Linked DNA regions of Caenorhabditis elegans. The protein of the gene in region 1 purifies or fractionates together with the protein of each later gene. This does not show direct contact. Each region holds a gene or a part of one and is shown in the gene's direction. Other genes may lie near its edges.

What was found.
Region 2: the proteins of ekl-6 (region 1) and natb-1 fractionate together in Caenorhabditis elegans (co-fractionation; one large-scale study listed by BioGRID). This does not show direct contact.

The regions. Positions count from the first base shown.
Region 1 is NC_003281.10:10,061,230-10,071,624, forward strand, and holds ekl-6 (RTP1_C1 domain-containing protein), read left to right. Parts: upstream 1-3,175; 5' UTR 3,176-3,193; coding exon 3,194-3,248; intron 3,249-3,418; coding exon 3,419-3,471; intron 3,472-3,516; coding exon 3,517-4,195; intron 4,196-4,505; coding exon 4,506-5,096; intron 5,097-5,218; coding exon 5,219-5,562; intron 5,563-5,614; coding exon 5,615-5,716; intron 5,717-6,184; coding exon 6,185-6,395; intron 6,396-6,460; coding exon 6,461-6,676; intron 6,677-6,729; coding exon 6,730-7,199; intron 7,200-7,480; coding exon 7,481-7,654; 3' UTR 7,655-7,972; downstream 7,973-10,395. Other genes in the region: T16G12.13 (uncharacterized protein), read left to right, coding at 279-468, 525-625; T16G12.12 (Serpentine receptor class gamma), read left to right, coding at 2,079-2,453, 2,506-2,572, 2,629-2,642; T16G12.6 (Exportin-T), read left to right, coding at 8,354-8,471, 8,684-8,829, 8,882-9,069, 9,116-9,209, 9,723-9,889, 9,946-10,194.
Region 2 is NC_003283.11:7,980,155-7,986,815, reverse strand, and holds natb-1 (N-alpha-acetyltransferase 20), read left to right. Parts: upstream 1-3,384; 5' UTR 3,385-3,398; coding exon 3,399-3,476; intron 3,477-3,525; coding exon 3,526-3,616; intron 3,617-3,667; coding exon 3,668-3,797; intron 3,798-3,844; coding exon 3,845-4,067; 3' UTR 4,068-4,159; downstream 4,160-6,661. Other genes in the region: Y97E10AL.1 (Protein stum homolog), read right to left, coding at 1-58, 599-644; abhd-12 (Serine aminopeptidase S33 domain-containing protein), read right to left, coding at 909-1,146, 1,196-1,411, 1,920-2,162, 2,209-2,410, 2,467-2,588, 2,657-2,673; F26D11.1 (Gluconokinase), read right to left, coding at 4,179-4,371, 4,525-4,841, 4,908-4,922.

The DNA.
Region 1 (10,395 bases):
CAAAATACAGTATTTTTATAAAAATTTTAACGTATCAACAAAAAATATTGTTCTCGTTTTTGAGGTCATTTTATTTTAAAATTGTTCAAATTAGTTTTTTTTTCAAAACTAAACGAAAAACTATGTAAAAAGTCAAAATCGGCGCAAACTAGATAAGTTAAAAATAAATCTAGAACGGCGCGACGCTCCAGGTTTTAGGCAGGCATTGATGCCGCCCCTGCGCTCACCTGCTAGCTAGCTAGCCAAAGCTCTTGTAAACTGAAACTTTTACATTTCAGACATTCTTCCTTCTTGTCTCTACAATCATCGCTACACTGGGCCCTATTTGGATAATCTTCGAGTTCAACACGGGAGCTCCAGAACAGATTCGATTGGTTATGGAACATGGTGACACTCATGAAATGGAATTTATTCAACGCCTTGGTTACTGTATTCTCTTTGAGCTCACTTTGATTTTGGATGCCGGGTGTGAGTTTTTGAGCTCATGAATGAGACTAGATTCTATAGGAAAGAAATATTTTCAGTTTATGCAATTCAAATGTTCTTGGCGCGGAGCGTGATTCGTGTGATCAAATCTGAAAAAAAAGATGCTCCTGTGGAAATGAATGCATTCAATGTTGTCTGATTGTTTTACTGCTGTTTTACTCTTGAAATTTAAAATTTTCCACTGAAACTTATGTATTTTTGAAATTTCCTTTTCCCTACACCTTTTTTTGCTCAATTTTTCCAAAATCGTAATAAAATTGTCTTCAGAACAAGTTATTTGCTCAGCTATACTTTCGAATCTAGACACTTCGATAACCCATTCTATGTGTCTTTTGAGGGTACGGAAAACAGGTGCCAACTGTACAGAAATGCAGCTGTTTTGTATGTTATCTAGTGTCTGCGGCTATGTTTGAAAAGGGAGAGGAACCTTTTGAAAATAAAAATTGAAAACATTGTCAAGATTCGATTAGATTTACAACTCAACCACTGTAACTTTCGACAGGAAATAACTATTCCCAATTCAATTGGCAAAATGCCGGAATTGAAAACTTCCGGAAAATCGGCAAGTTGCCAGAATCAAAATTTCCGGCAAATCGGCAGACTGCTTTGAAATTTTCGGGAAACTGTGCCTTTGCATACTTTTTTTTTGGAAATTTCAGATTTTCAATTTTAATCGGCAAAATTGTACGCATCCTATGAATGTTCCTACATCTATTTTGAAAAATTAGCAAATTCTATGAAAATATATTTTTAAAAAATGAAAAAAAAAAGTCAAAAGGCCCAGTTTTAAGTGTTTCCGTCTTATAAAAAATCCCTCTAAAAACTTCCGGCGAATTGTTGTTCGGCAAACGGCAAATCGGCAATTGCCGAAAATCAAAATTTCCGGCAAATCGGAAATTGCCGGAAATTAACATTTTCGGCAAACCGGCAATTTTCCGATTCTCAACTACCAATACTCCTTTTTTAACTTCACCTAGTTAGTCATAGCTCCGTGATTGTCTTGATCACTCTACACATCCAGTTTCTCTCTCTTTGCAACAGTATTTCATTGTCAGTCTCTCACTTTTCCATGATCTCTCTCTAAATGGGGGTGTGTCCAGAGGGCCAAGTGGGTGGAGCCTGGAGTAAGGGGTCATGGCGCCTTGGTTGTTGAACAGACATTCACTTTCTGCCTTTGACACTCGCCTTTGGTTCAGATGTTTTGAAGTCTGTACTTTTATTTTCAAATATTTATTTTGAGATCGTTATAATTACCGTATTCCCCCTCTGCATATACTGAGAGCCACCGCAAAGCCTTGCATTTAATACTCGAAGTGTTGCGATATCTCCTAGAAAAATACGGTACCGGGTCTCGCCACGACTATGCCATAAAGAATACTGTAGTTTCTAACCTAAACGCGCATGCAAGTTCAGGTCACGCCAATTAGTGGAAATTTTGCAGAGTGGTTTTAAATTATAGTAATCTTTAAAGGCACACACTCTTTTTGAGATTCACAAAAATTGTCGTGTCGAGACCGGGAACCGTATTCTTGCAACGAAAATTGCTCCAATCTTAAATCTTAATATGTATGTTTTTCAGCAACAAAAGCATCATGACCATCCCCTCGAAGATCTTGGCGAGCAAACCTCCAGATGCTCAAAAGGAGATCAAGATTCAAATGCCAGTCAAGACCAATCCTGTCTACAGAGCCCGCACCAACACCTTCCCTCTCTTCTTCGGACTTCATTACCAGCATCGCAGCACTTTCCGCCTAATCTGTGATATTCTGTACCTCGCTATCTATGCTCACCTATTGGAATGTATTGCTGTCTACGCGATCAACTACATGTATCCAAATCTATTGTGGGAAACCTTCGGATACACAATCCCAAGAATCCTGCAAATCCTGCTCGTGTTCCACAGCATTCCAGTGATCGGATCTTTGTCAAGAACAGTTTTCGGATGCCGCATGTCTGTATTTTTCACGGTAGGTTGAAGTAATCGACACCATTAATTATTGAAACCTTTTGGATGATCAGAACAGATTCCATAATGAAACTGTCACAGGAACGGCCACTTTTCTCTTCTCAGTTGCTTATATGATTGGTACGGGCTCACGTGCATCTTCCGCGTCATCCTAATCTTACTATAACTATTTTCAGCATCCACTTCCTGAATCAGATTCTTCTGGTTCATGTCATCAGACAAAACAACCGCCGTTTCAAAGCTGCACCAACTCTCCGCCGTGTTGCCTAATTATTCTCACTATTTTTTTAAAACACATGTATTAATTGATTTTCTCCTTGTCCAATTTCACATTGCACCGAAATTTATCGAAAACATTTGTTTTCCTACCCGTTCGAATCGGTTTCCCTTTTACGAAAAATCTTTTTTTTTTCTATTTGTCTCAGAAACGGACATTTTCTCACAAAAGAAATACTTTTTTAAAATCCAAATCGGGAAGTGTGAGGCATCCAAAACTATTAACATGGTCTCGAAGAATATTGATTCATCAATGAAATTCTTATCTGTGTTAAATTTGTATGACTCATGTTCAGAAATAAATATAAACATTCATTTATAAATTAAACGCCTCGAAACAACGAAAAAAAAATCAAGCCTGGCCGAGGTGGCCGTGGCCTAGAAGTGGCGCGTGTACTCCACTCGGACAACATTTTCTTGCCGCAGTTTTGAACACTCTTATTGATTTTCAGCTTGCTCAGCACAATGCTGACCAAAAATGAGCTTATTCATATGATATCCGAACTGATAACTCCTCCAGGTATGTAAATTTCAATAATTATCTCCTTGTTGTGGCCTTTTATTGCTCCGACACGATTTATGTCGAAAAAAAATCTATAAATTTATATTTAAATAAGATTTGCAATGTAATTCGAGATAAAATTTTATTATTTCTTTAATTGCGTCGCGTGAATGAACATATTTTTTCAGCAGAAACATGGAAAAATGATCCGTTTGAGCTACTGGTGAAGAAATGCCCGAAGGTGAGGTTTTTTCTAAATTAAAAATTCTCTATATTAAGTATTCAGGATCTGTTTGAAAAGTATGTAGACACACCAAACGAAGATTCAATTCCATCTACTTCTGATGATGTTAGAACTGTCAATGCCGATGTCAGAATTTACTATTCTCAAATTCTCGGAGGTCTTTATCTTGATCTTGCGAATTTGCTCAAATCAGAACGTGCGAACTGCTCCGACGAATACCAGCTTTTGTCACTTCAAGATGTCACACTTGTGAGAAAATCATTCGAATTCTTCTTGCTCACCGGTATCTTGCCATTTATGGAGCCCGGTGCCGGACTCGGAGCAGCCTCACGCAGTACATTCATCAAATCGTGGAAACTATACGATGGAAACAAAGAAACGTGTATTGAAAAGCTTGAGTTTGCTGCAAAAGTGATCATAAATCTTCTGGAAAGCAATGAATCTCTCATCGGTCAATTCTTGACAAAATTCATCGACGATGTGCTCGCCGTTCGTTTCCAGCTTCTTCAGCTGAAAATCGATAAATACGAGTTGAACTTCGCTGAGCTGGTCTCAAAACTCCAAATTGACGTTCTTTTCGGATCTTTGATGTTTCTGACGCAGGATAAGAAGACAGCAAAGACGCCGATGTGGTTGAAAGTTGCTTGTGGCAAACAGATGACAAAGATTCTTGTCGGAAAAGATGGATTGTCGTATCTTTTGCAGTATTATCGTGAACGCGGTGAGACTTTCTGCATTTTGTGATGGAAATTACCAAATGAAATCAAAAAATATTGATTTTAATCAATAATTTTTCATAATGACCCGAATTTCGTAACGATTCCTCTAAAAGACATATTAGCTAAAATATCCAATTTTATGCCGCAACTGTTAGAAATTGATTTTTAATTGATTATTCCCAGTTTTTGGGTTGTTTATACGCTGAATAGGGGACAAATGTGCCTAAATAACCGCTAAACTGGTAAAATTGGAGATTTCAAGCCAATTTTTTCGAAATTTTAAATCACAAAAATCATTCCAATTATTTTCAGCTGGAGATACATGGACCGACAATCTACCATTGACAAAACAAGTTTCCTGGCATTTGGCAACTGTTCCAAAAATGTTCAGACACCCATTGAACTATCATGAGATTATCTCGAATCAATTCTTCGAACTCTTGTGGAGCCAGAAAATCCCCGAGCAAAATACTCTGAACGTGTTCATCAACTATGTCGAAGAGCTTCACACTCGTTTTGCTCTCAACGCAAATCTTACGGTTTTCGACAAAATTCTGAACTTCTGGGAGGTGCTGGACAAGAAAATTCAGGATAAAACGGTCATGCATTCGGAGAAAGTGGAGAACTATTCACCGAATTTCATCAGAAATCTTCAACTTCTGTCACAGCTGCAACTGTCGGCTGATGTGAAGAGAACTCGTGCGCTGTCTACATGTTTATTCGCTTGCGTGGAACAAATTCCATATATTAAAGATATTTTAAAATCGGCGTTGGATAGTGTTTTGAGTATTGGATACATAATTTATCAATTTGTAATGACACCATCACATCGTGTTGCTTTGGAAAAGAAATTTGTAACGTCATCGAAAATTCAGGAAATTGGTGGAGATAGCAATGGAAATGGTTGGTTTTTATTTTTTTGAAAAAAAAAACGCTCAAAAATTATCTGAGAGTTGGAAATTACCGGAAAATCCAAATTTCTGACAATTGAGCCAGTTTTCTATTAAAGTCTCCTCTAATTTCAGACACTCCGTTCGATGAAATGTGGCTTCACGGAATTGAAAGTACTGATGAAGGTGTAGCTCGTCGCCTTGAAACCGCATTTTTCGTCATCGACAATGTTCTGACATCGGCACAAATTCGCCCAATTCTAGAGATGATGAATATGGCGTTGGATGACTTTTTGAAAGTTTCCGAGAAAGAGCGAGAAGATGATCAAGCTAGATTTGTACAATTGGACGGAGCAAAGTTGTTCTCATCATCCCATGCGCATCTTGTCGTCGGAGCATGTTTTGAGAGAATCATAAATTTGGCTCAAGATTCTGGTTTCTCACAGGAAGAATGTGTTCAATTGTTGAGAATTGCCGAGGTTGGCATTTTCGCTAAAATTTGAGATATTTAAATAAATTAAATATTTTCAGTCCATCCTTAACAATTGTACTGGAAAATTTATGCGTATGGCGAATAGAAAACGAAATGTCGATGTTTTTCGAATGACGCCGACAGAGAAGAAAGAATTTGAGGTAAATATTGTCCAGATACGAGATTTTAAGATTTTCACCTTGAAAGGTCTCGAAGCGAACGATTTTCTATAAATTCTTCAGACCTTTGAGGAGTACTGTAGCAAAGGGGCAACAAACGAGAATCAGAAGATTGCCGGAATTGAAAATTGAAAATTTCCGGAATCGAAAATTTCCGGCAAACGGGTAAATTGCCGAATTCGCCGGAAAATCGGTTTTGCACATTTTTTAAGAACATTTACGGCAAATCGGCAATTTGCCGAAAATGAAAAATTCTGGCAAATCGGCAATTGTTTAAACATATAAAAAGATATAAAAATGAATCAAATTTTGAAGAAACGGGAGGAACCCAGTACAAAAATAATGCAAAAACAATCAAATTTAAGAAAATCGGCCGCTTCAAGAACAGGAGTGAAAATCGCAAAATTCCGTATTCCTTCTAAAACCATTGCTAATTTTTTTCCATTTCAGTGCAGCCGAGACTCTGCAAAAATGTGTCTTCCAATGATCAGCACAGTATTCATGCTGACTCAAACAACAACTCGAATGCACGATGTTCATATCAGATCCATGGAAGCCATGGCAAACTTTACAAAAGCTGCTGACGCTTTTCCATCCGAAGATGTTTCTTTTAATTTAGCTGTTGACGAAGCTAAGAAACTGCTCAGAGATCTCAAAATTGGTAGGTCAAATAATTTCTGCCTCTGATTTTTTGAAAAGAGAAACATTTTTGCATATTTTTTCCAGACGTGAATCAAGTCAACGCACCAACTCTGCCACAAAGAACCGATCGCCAACGATATAATCAACAAGTTGACGTTTGTAATGAGTGGATTGAAGAGCTTCATGACGATGAGCCAGCTATCAAAGGAGGAGCATTAATGCAAATTGCTAGAGTATTCCGAAACAGAACGTATCACTGTCAGAGGTTGTTCGAATATGGAGTATTTGATGCTGTCAAAGGTATATTCGATTTCAGTGTCGAAATAAATAATTATTTTCTCTATTTCTTTCAGATATGGTCGCCGATGATGATTCATACGTATATTTGTCTGCAATCAATTGTCTCTGTGAAATGGGACTTTACAATAAGAACATGTTTGAGGATACAATTGAATATTATGAAGAGATGTCAAATCAACCTCAGAAAGACACTAAAATGATCATTCGTGTTGGAAGAGTCGCTGAAGCGATTGGAAAACTTTTGCTCGCACGTGGAGAGATTTCTGTCACCTATTTCGATCGACTCGCCACACTTTTCATGAAAGGAATCGATGAACCAGAAGAGATTCTTCGTGCCAGCAGTTGTGGAGCTTTTGGAAATCTTATGATTGCTACTCGTGGACGAGGATCCGAGAAATGGTTGGGACAGGTGTTCCATAAAATTGTCAATATTATTCGAGTCGATCGATCGCCACTTGTTAGACGTTCGGCTGCTGATCTCATTCGTCATAGCTTACAATCAACTGGTAGAGATATGCTGGCTGTGAGTGGTTTTTTTTCGCTGAAACAGAAATCAAAACGGCTAAGCGAATTTCATACTCGGAGAAATTTTAATCTAAAAAAAACAAACCAAAAAACGTTAAAAATGACCCGAATTATTTACACAATAATATTTTTTATAAATTTTCCTAAAGGCTCAAAATTTTTCAATTTCTGGAAATTTTTTAAAACTTTCCAGTGTGACGTTTGGGGTCATTTTTAACGCTTTTCTCATTAACAAAAAAATAATTTTCCATAAAAATTTCAAAATTTTATAAAATTCAGATTCTCCGAGAACATCTTCTCGATCTTCACCGCGAAATTCGTCAACTTCATCGAACGGATCGTGATGAGACTGTCCGTTTACACGCTCAATTATGTCTCGAAGAAATTGAAGCAGCACTGCGTCAAAATCAAGAGGACACTGAAAGAGGATATCACAGAAGAATACGGTTCTAATATCAATGTTTATTGTCATGACAAAAATATTCTGAGATTATTTATCAGTTTATATAATTTTCTAGAGGCTTTATTGAGTTGTAAGCGATTTTTGTTTCTTTTTTTCCTTTTTTTGTTCTGATTTTCATTTTTAACATTTTTCTTCATATGCGGAATATTTTATTAAAATTAATTCCCACCGCCCCCCGCCCCCCAATTTCCAAAATCTCATTCACAAGACTTGTCGTTCTCTTTTCTCATTTCTTGGTATTTTTCGCATCAATTGTTTCGTTCTTATGGAAATACTTTCTTTTTCATATTAAAGTTTTGTTAAAAGTGAATTTATTTTAAGAATTATTTTTTGATTTTATCGGTTCGATACCGTTTTTAATATCTGTGCTTTTGTTTGAAAAATCTCGTATTTTATGCATATTTTCTGACGAATTCCATGTTCCAGACGCGGAATTTTTCGATTTTTGCATTAAAAATACGATACTGATCTCGACACGACTTTTTTTGGTTAAAATTGGAAAGATATGCGCCTTTAAACATTACTGTAGTTTCAAAATTACCGTACTTTTTAAAGGCGCAAGCCTTTAAATAAATTTTAATAAAAATTCCGACCGTGTCGAGACCAGGCACCGTATTTTGGGCGCAAAAGTCATAAATTTTCGCACCTTAAACAAAATAAAATATATTTCAGGATAGTTTCCAGGTCGAATGGCCGTAGTTTCTCTAGATTCTGATCTACTAATAGCCACAATCAATGAATTTTACACAACAACAGATGAGCACAGAAGACATGAAATTGATGCGATTTTATGTCGATTCAAGACTGGTTAGGGATTTTTCTTTTGAAAATTTAGTCTTAAAATCCGAAAAAAATCGAATTAAAATGAACAATCCAATTTTTTGATTAAAATTCATTTTTGAATTCCCTCCAAAATCACTGATTGGTCTTGTAGTTCTCTTTTTGGAGGGAATTTAGACCAACATTTTCTGAATTTAAGAGTATTCCGGGCTTTTGGAAATAATTTTGAATTTCTTCAGACTATGAATGTATGCAAACAGTTGGAGCATGTATGAGAATTATCAGTCAACCTACAAGCTCATCAATTGTCAGATATTTCGGTGCAGTGGCTCTTTACGATGTGATTCGAGTACGAAGTGAAGAGTGTATTGCAAATGAGGCAGTGGTTAGAATAAAATCTCGATTTTGAGAAAAAATTAATTATTTTATATTTACAGCAATTAAGCTTGAAAACATTTCTGATTGATAGCTTAAAATCTGGAGCCTATGCTCAAACAACATCAGTTTTGAATAAGCTTTCTGCTGCACTTGCTCTCTTTTCTCTATACTGTGTACCTGATCTCTGGCCGACGCCTGTTCAAGATCTGACACCGACACTCGCAGGATCTCCCGAAATATTGTTAAAGTGAGATAATTCTATGGATTTAAAATTGATTGTATCAAGATTGCAGAGTACTTTCCGATATGGCAGCTGAGTTTTCGCATGTCACAATGCCATTGACACAGAGGAGTAAACTGAAAGGCGAATTGCACAAATTCTCCGAGGTTTTTTCCAGAAAAAAAAATCGAAAAACGAAATTTTTCCGAATTTTAGAAGACCGAAAAATTGAAAAAAAAATTTAGAAAATTAACAGAAAAATGCAATTTCTTTTTCCAATATTTTTAAAAATAAATATTGAAAAGAAAAAACATGAGCCGAAAAATATAATTTTCTTCTTAAAAAAAGGCAAAATGGCTGAAATTTCGGGTCTCGTTAGGTATTTGGCGCCAAAACCGTAGATTCAAACGTTTTCAAGCATTTTTTCACTTTTTTTCTCATGATTTTAAATCGAAACTCATGAAAAAAAGATCACAAATATTAAAATGAACCTATCTTATTCTTTTTTCAACTTTTCATGCGTTTTTACGCAATTTCTACACAAAAATCATGAAAAACATCGGGAAAAACCACGAAAAAGGCGAAAAATGCTTTAAAAAATTATTTTTTTGAGTGCATTTTTCTGCGATCTAATAATAAATCAACCATTAGTTTTATAACAATAAAAAAAATAATTTCAGAATATAATAAGCGTACTAGCAGTCGTACTTCGCGGCGGTGACACCTCTTCAATCACAAAACAAGCAGCTGTGGAATGTGTTGAACAATGGTTAAGATTACCTGGAATGGCTCTTGATCAATGGACTCATGTATTATCAGACGTCCTTGGAGCAGTAGTTCAGGATTGGTTTGTGCAGAAAAATATTAAATTTTAAAAGATCATTAAACATTTAATATTTGCAGCACTGCTCTCGCGAGCATTCTGGATATTATTGCGGAAAACGACGAATTCCATCGAAATTCCACCCTTATCATTAGCATTTGTCAATACATTTGTTTCAACGTTTCCGGTAAAATTGAAGAAGAACTAGGTGCGGATGCATCGAGTGAAGAAATTGCGACACTGGTGGCTGCCACGTGTAGTGTCTCTGAAAACTCTGTGCCAACACTTGTCGAGTGTGCAGCTCAAGGGGGAGATTCGGAGCTTGTAATGTGAGTTTTTTGGAATATTTTGCAATAAATGTCGGAAAGCAGTACCTAATATAACTGTCTAAAAAATTTTAGATTTTTTTCTGGATTTTACAACAAAAAAAATTGTTTTGCAGGGAAATGTTTGATTTAATCTGTCAAATTTTTATTCATTTTTCCGTAAAAAACTCGATAATCCTTGTCAAAAGTTCGATAAATTCGATA
Region 2 (6,661 bases), on another chromosome or scaffold:
TATTCGATTATTCGCGGAACCGTTTTTTGAACCAATTTCCAGCCACGAACTTTTTCTGCTGAAATTTCTTAGGAAGTTTCGCGGATAATTGTTCTTTAAATACGATTGAAAAATTATGGCACAGGTATTTTAAAGGTATTTCCCAGTGGGTCTCGCCGCGATCTCTGTCATTTTGGCATCTACAAAATGTAAAATTTTACAAAATTATATATTTTGCATAATCAGTAATTAGCTCCGCCCACTTTTGAACCAATCAGACGGAGTGTGCTTTGTTCGAGTTCGAAGATGATGAGTGGTTCGAAAGTGGGCGTGGTTTCTCATTTTGGAGGGAATTCAAAAATGAAATTTAGCCAAAATTGAAGTTTTTTTAAGTAGGAGTTTTCATTCATATTCGCGATTTTTCGTTTTTCTTTTGTGGAATTTCTGAATTTGAGAGACTATTTCAAATTTTTTAAATTTAAAGAAAAATTATCAAATGCTCTCGCTCTATAAAATGCGGTCAAATATTTTTTTCTCAAAAACTATGAACAGTGGAAAAGTGTTTTTTAAAAATACAAGTGGGGCCTTTCATTTGGTATTTTTACGATAAAAAACTAACAAGTTTGAAGTATATTGGCCATCCCATCCGTAACATTTTGTATCATTTTGAGATGTAGTTTTCCGAATAATAGTAAAAAAAAGGTAAGTTGAAAGACGCAGAAGAATGAAAGCTAGTGGAAAAAACTAGTGGCCATGTGGAGCGGAAAAAAAGAAAAGGGAGAGGTGGTTTCCGGACCCTATGAGCAATTATGTGTGTATTACTAGAACCTTAAGAGAACATGATGGATCATGTCAAATTGGATAAATTGTAATACGAAAATTGGAAATAATCTAAATTTTTATAAACTCAAAAAAATGCAGTGACATGTTTATGATGATGCGATTAACGTGGATGGCGGAGTGACACTCCCGACGAATTCTTCGATAATTTCGGGAAGCTCAGGATATCGACAAATGAATTTATGACCAAGACCATAATCTGATGAAAACTCTCGAATTTTGATATCCCTCTCGGCATCTTTTGCCGCTTCGTACAACGCTCTTCCCAGCTTCACAGGAAGAATTTTGTCGTCCTCGGCGTGGAGGATGATTATTGGACACGATACTCTGAAAATCGGTAGGTTTTTTTGGTCGTTATCTGCATATTTCTTCTTACAATCTGATGCGTTTGTCAGAACGCATAGTGAGGCCGACACTGTTGAGCGGTCGAATGATGATGTGATCTACCATGAAGTCATTCATCCAGCTAAACACTGTGAAGATCGGATGATTTGTTACGGCATCCTTCAAATTGTTGAATGGCGATTCGAGGATTAAACCGCACGGTGGTTGCTGTTCTCTTGAAAGATCTTGCACCAACTTGCAGGAGACACTGAAAATTGAATTGAACAGTATTTTAGATGTATCGTAGTTTCTCTATTAGTATCAAGGGTGTCATCGAAAAATTTTCATTTTTTCAGAGAAAACTGAAAAAAATGTTTGATATAACAAAAAAAAATCAATTAAAAAATTTTTTTGTGTATGTCGATGATAAAAAAAATTTGGAAATGTTTAAATTTTTTTTAACAAAAAGAAAAATGGCCAAAACTTGAAGCAATTTTTCGGAAAAAACGAAACATTTCCGAATTTTGAATATGGAAGTTTCGAATTTTGATTTACACCTGCAACATATGAAGCTGTTTTTAATTTCTTGAAACCCGATTTTTCAAGAAAAAATGTTATTAATTTTGGTGAACTAGAGCTATGCTCAAAAAAGCCATCTTAAATTTGTATTTTTTGATATCAAAATCAGTCAGCATTTTTTTTTTGCATTATCCTCAGTACTTTAAAAATTGAGTTTAAAAATTTCTGATTGCAGTGAAATAATAAATTTAACTCACCCAGTTCCCATCGAATGACCCCATACAATAACAGGCGTCTTCCCGCAATTCTCCTTCAGCCATTCGTATACTGTTTTTGTATCTTCAACAATTCCTTTTTCGGTTGGTGTTCCTTCTGAATCTCCATATCCTCGATAATCGAAACAGACGACATGATAATTACAATCACTGAGCAAATTGTACATTTCCACACGATGGTAGAATGTGCGATCGAACGAGTTTCCATGAGCGTAGAAGATAATTCTGAAATTTATTGATTTTTTTTGAATTCATTCTTTGAAAATCCTACTGATTCTCTGAATCCCTCATCATATCGTCAAAATCTCTCTCTGTCGGATGTTTTCCTTCTGTTCTCCATTCTAAACTCAATTTGTTGGGCAGAATGTGCCAAACACCAATCCTTCCACTTTTTCCAGGCAAATGAAGAGATCTTCCGATTGATTTAACGTTGTTCGACGCCAAATCATTGTAATCGGTGTTCGGCAGACGTCCTTAACAAGGTAACATAGATCAAAGATAAAAGATAAGATAAAAAAGAAAAACTAACGGAAATTGAGAAAGAAGATGAACTGTGTGTAGCGTGGAAGAAAATATACCAGTATTGGAAGGAAGATGACAATTGAGAGGACTAGAATTGTGATACAGAGTAGTAGCGGTTGAATAAGTACACTGAAATTAAATTTTCGTTTAATAAATCAAGTTTTAAAATGTGGAAAAATGCCTAAATTTAAACTTACATAAAATAGCCTAGCATGATGTTGATATTTTGTTAGTTAACCGCTTCCATTCGAGTAGTCAAGTCACCTGAATGCATACAAAATGAGGTATATTAGATAGTGTACTTGAAAGTGAAAATGGAAGCAAAAAAACTGGAATTTCTTTAAAAGAAAGAGAAAAGTGGAAGAGAGAAGCAGAGGTATACACAATATACTCACCCTGCTAGTCACTTATTGATTTTTTCTCCTGTTAGTGTTTTGTTTGTACTTGATGACGGTCAGGAGGAGCGCCTGACCGCCTGACCGATTTATTTTTTGAAACACAAAAAACGAAAGAGGATAATTTTTCAACGGACTACGGTGGACAAGTCCGCAAACACCGCGCACTAAACTTGCGTACTTTAGGAATTTGCAAATTAATTTGGAATTTTACTCTTTTTTATTAATTTTTAACTTAATTAGCCTGATAATAGCTTGTTTTATGCTTAAAAATAAATCAACGAGCTGCAAAAATAATTTAAATTCTGACAACACAGCGCTATGCCCTTTACGAAATTTATTTGAACCGTTTTTAATAGTGCCACCTCGTTTTAGCACTTTTTCAACTCTTTTCCGCGTTCGCCAAATTTATTTTCCCATTTTGTTTGCAAATAACGAATTTAAAATTTGTTAACTCTCTCAAGTAATGCAATTTCTTTGTGATTAATATAACACTTAAATTTACCCTTCAATATTGCAATATATTGCAGAACTGCGAGTAAAAATGACAACTCTCCGGCCATTCGACGTTATGGATATGTTCAAGTTCAATAACGTGAACTTGGATATCAACACTGAAACGGTAAATTGCTCAGTAAATAAAAAAAATTTAAATATATTTATTTTTGCAGTATGGCTTCCAATTTTACCTGCACTATATGATGAACTATCCGGAGTATTACCAAGTTGCTGAACATCCAAACGGGGAAATTATGGCCTATGGTTTGTTTGAAAATAAATGAAACATAAATGTGAAATAGTTTAATTTTTCAGTCATGGGAAAAATCGAAGGACGCGACACCAATTGGCACGGACATGTAACTGCTCTCTCTGTGGCTCCAAATTTTCGTCGATTGGGACTAGCCGCCTACATGATGGAGTTCTTGGAACGTACTTCTGAAGCGTAAGTGATGGCAAATTAATATTTTATTAAAATCTAAGAATTTTCAGTCGTAGAGCATATTTCGTCGATCTGTTTGTTCGTGTTTCGAACAAGATCGCCATCGAATTGTATAAGAAGCTTGGATATGTCGTCTACCGGCAAATTATTGGATACTACACTGGAGATAGGGACGAAGATGCTTTTGATATGCGGAAGTCGCTTTCTCGCGATCCTGAAAAGAAAGCGATGGTTCCTTTGAATTATCTCGTGCACAGTAGAGACGTGGATTAATTTTAGATTGTTTTGTTTAGTATTTATTTATTGTTTAATGTTTATTGTGTTGGTTGTCTTGTCAGTTATGACAAATTATTAAATTTATTTATATTATTTAGATTTCTAGAATCATTCACAAATCAATGCCAGAGTCTTTACAATTGTATCAACAATTTGATCCACATTTTCACTATTCGCATCAACAGTGACGATATTTGATTCATCGGGACTCGGAAGTTCAAGTGTAGCCAGCTGACTATCAAGTAAAGTAGATGGCATGAAGTGTCCGGGACGGGAATTCACGCGTTGCTGAAGAACTTCCCTGCAAAAAATGAAACGATGAATGCGTGAAAATGTGTGAAAGTGGGAAAACGAGCGGACGGAAGCGAGTGCGAATTTGAGTTGTTTGTTGTCCATTTTCACTTTTCTGCCCATTTCTTTCACCACATTTTTTTGCGCGCTGAACATTACTTGCCTTTTTAAATTCAACAGAATGAAAACAGCTCTTCCGCTGGCTCCATTGGGAAGATGTTCACAAAGAATGGATCTATAACGTCTTTTAAGCGCAGAACAAGCGATAACGTATCCTTGATTGAGTCTTGCGTAGTTGTTAATAGCTTGAAGCCATGGAAGTCTATCAGAATCATTCAGTGGTGTGCCGGCTTTCATTTTCTCTACATTTTCAGGTGAATGGAAAGTATCACCATCTTTGAATGGCCGTCTGAGCTTCTCAGAAAGAGCTTTTCCAACAGTACTTTTACCGCATCCACTGACACCCATTATGTATATTGTCTGAAATTGAATCTACTTAAACAACATTTATTACGTAAAACAAGTAAAAATTCAACAAAAAATTACATTAATGTTTGACATCTTTCGTTGGATCGATTGATTCGAATGGCGGTAGATAGAAGAATCGAGCGATTGATGCGTAGAATGGAACTGAAATAAGATCAATTTAACCTGGTCGTGATCATTAAAACAAGAAATATTACCTGCTGATAAGGATCGAATTATTTGTCGAGTTACAGGCCTTGTTGCATAGTATCCGATTGGTCTTGTGGCAAAAATTATGTAGCAACCGATGCCGAATAGACTAAAATTACAAGTATGAAGCTTAAACAATTGTGCAAATTCTAGGTGAATTACCTGGCCGTTCCGATGATCTTACACGAAACACAGTCCTGTTCGGCAGCTGGTTGAGAAGATGAAGAAGCCAGCTGAAAAATAAAGGATTTGATGAAAATTACATGAGAATAAAATTTGAAAAATTAAAGACACAGTTCAGTTCGAAATGCGTTTTGAATTCAGAGTCTCAAATGACTTTTGTCTCAAATTTCGTAATGCAGAATTTATGGTTTTTCTGACTCACTTTTGAAAGAAAATGAAATTTTCGAGGAAAAAATTGTACCTATTGGTTTTAAAAAAATCTTCTTAGTTTTCGTCGATTTATTTATTTATTAGGTTTTCGCTAGACATTTCAGAATAAAATTGTATTTAAAATAAGTAGGAAACAGAAAAACATTTTTTTTTAATTAAAAGAAAAAAGTACAGTACTCCTTCAAAGGCGCATGTATTATTTTTTGAAAAAGTTTCACGCCTGGAATGGTTTTCGTCCGCAATATTTATTTATAAATGAAAATTTTCTGCAAATCTTATGCAAATCCAAAATTCAAAAAGAAAAATTCCACAAAAAAACCTCAATTTTTCGAAAGAGTGCAGGCGCGCTCCATTGAACCGCCGCTGTTCTTCTCGCGGAAAGGCAAATCATAATAATGTTTCAAGTGAAAAGATGATAGGGTATTCCTTTTACCTATGTAATTGTGCTATCTATTAAAAGATTTTTCCTTTCTCTCTGGCATTAATATCGTTAAGGATAGCTACTGATTCTCGTTTCAATTAACTCCATCCAGCACTTGGATCTTCCAAATCTAGTCTTGTTTTTACCTTTTTTTTTGCCAAACAGAACCTCTAATATCTCACCGGAAATCCAATTTTCTCCTCTTTTCTCTTCTGCTATTTATTTCCGATGCGACCACCACTAATCGTTCCGACAACCACAAAACTTATCAACATTCCCCTCACTTTGAATAGGCAGACAGACGATGAGACGGAGAGGGAAAAATTGAAAAGGAAGTGCAAATCCGGAGAAGAACACGAAGCTCAAGAAGAAAAAAAAGAAGAAAACTGAGAAAAAGAAGAAGCGGCCACTCTTTTTCTGCTTGTCCGTCTAATCCTCACGTGTTTGGACCGGCAAGGGGCTCACAAAACTGAAGTGACTCGAGAAGACATCATGTTGATGATGATGAAGGATAAAAAATATTTTTTGTGTGTGATTTTGACGCCTTGGTAGCAGCACAGCAGCCTCCAAAATTTATGTTTTTTTTTTCTTCAAACCACATTCACTTTTTAATCTCTCAAAGTCAGCATAAGATTTTCCCACAGTTTATCCTAATTTCTAAAAAAATATTTAAATTTCCATCTGCTAGTTGCCTCATAGTGAGATGCATTCTATTAGAGTTGATCGCTTGCAGAACCCTAATTAGTATAGATATTCTTTTCCAATTTTTTCTCGGAATCCGCTGAGAAAGATATGCATTCATTCATCATTT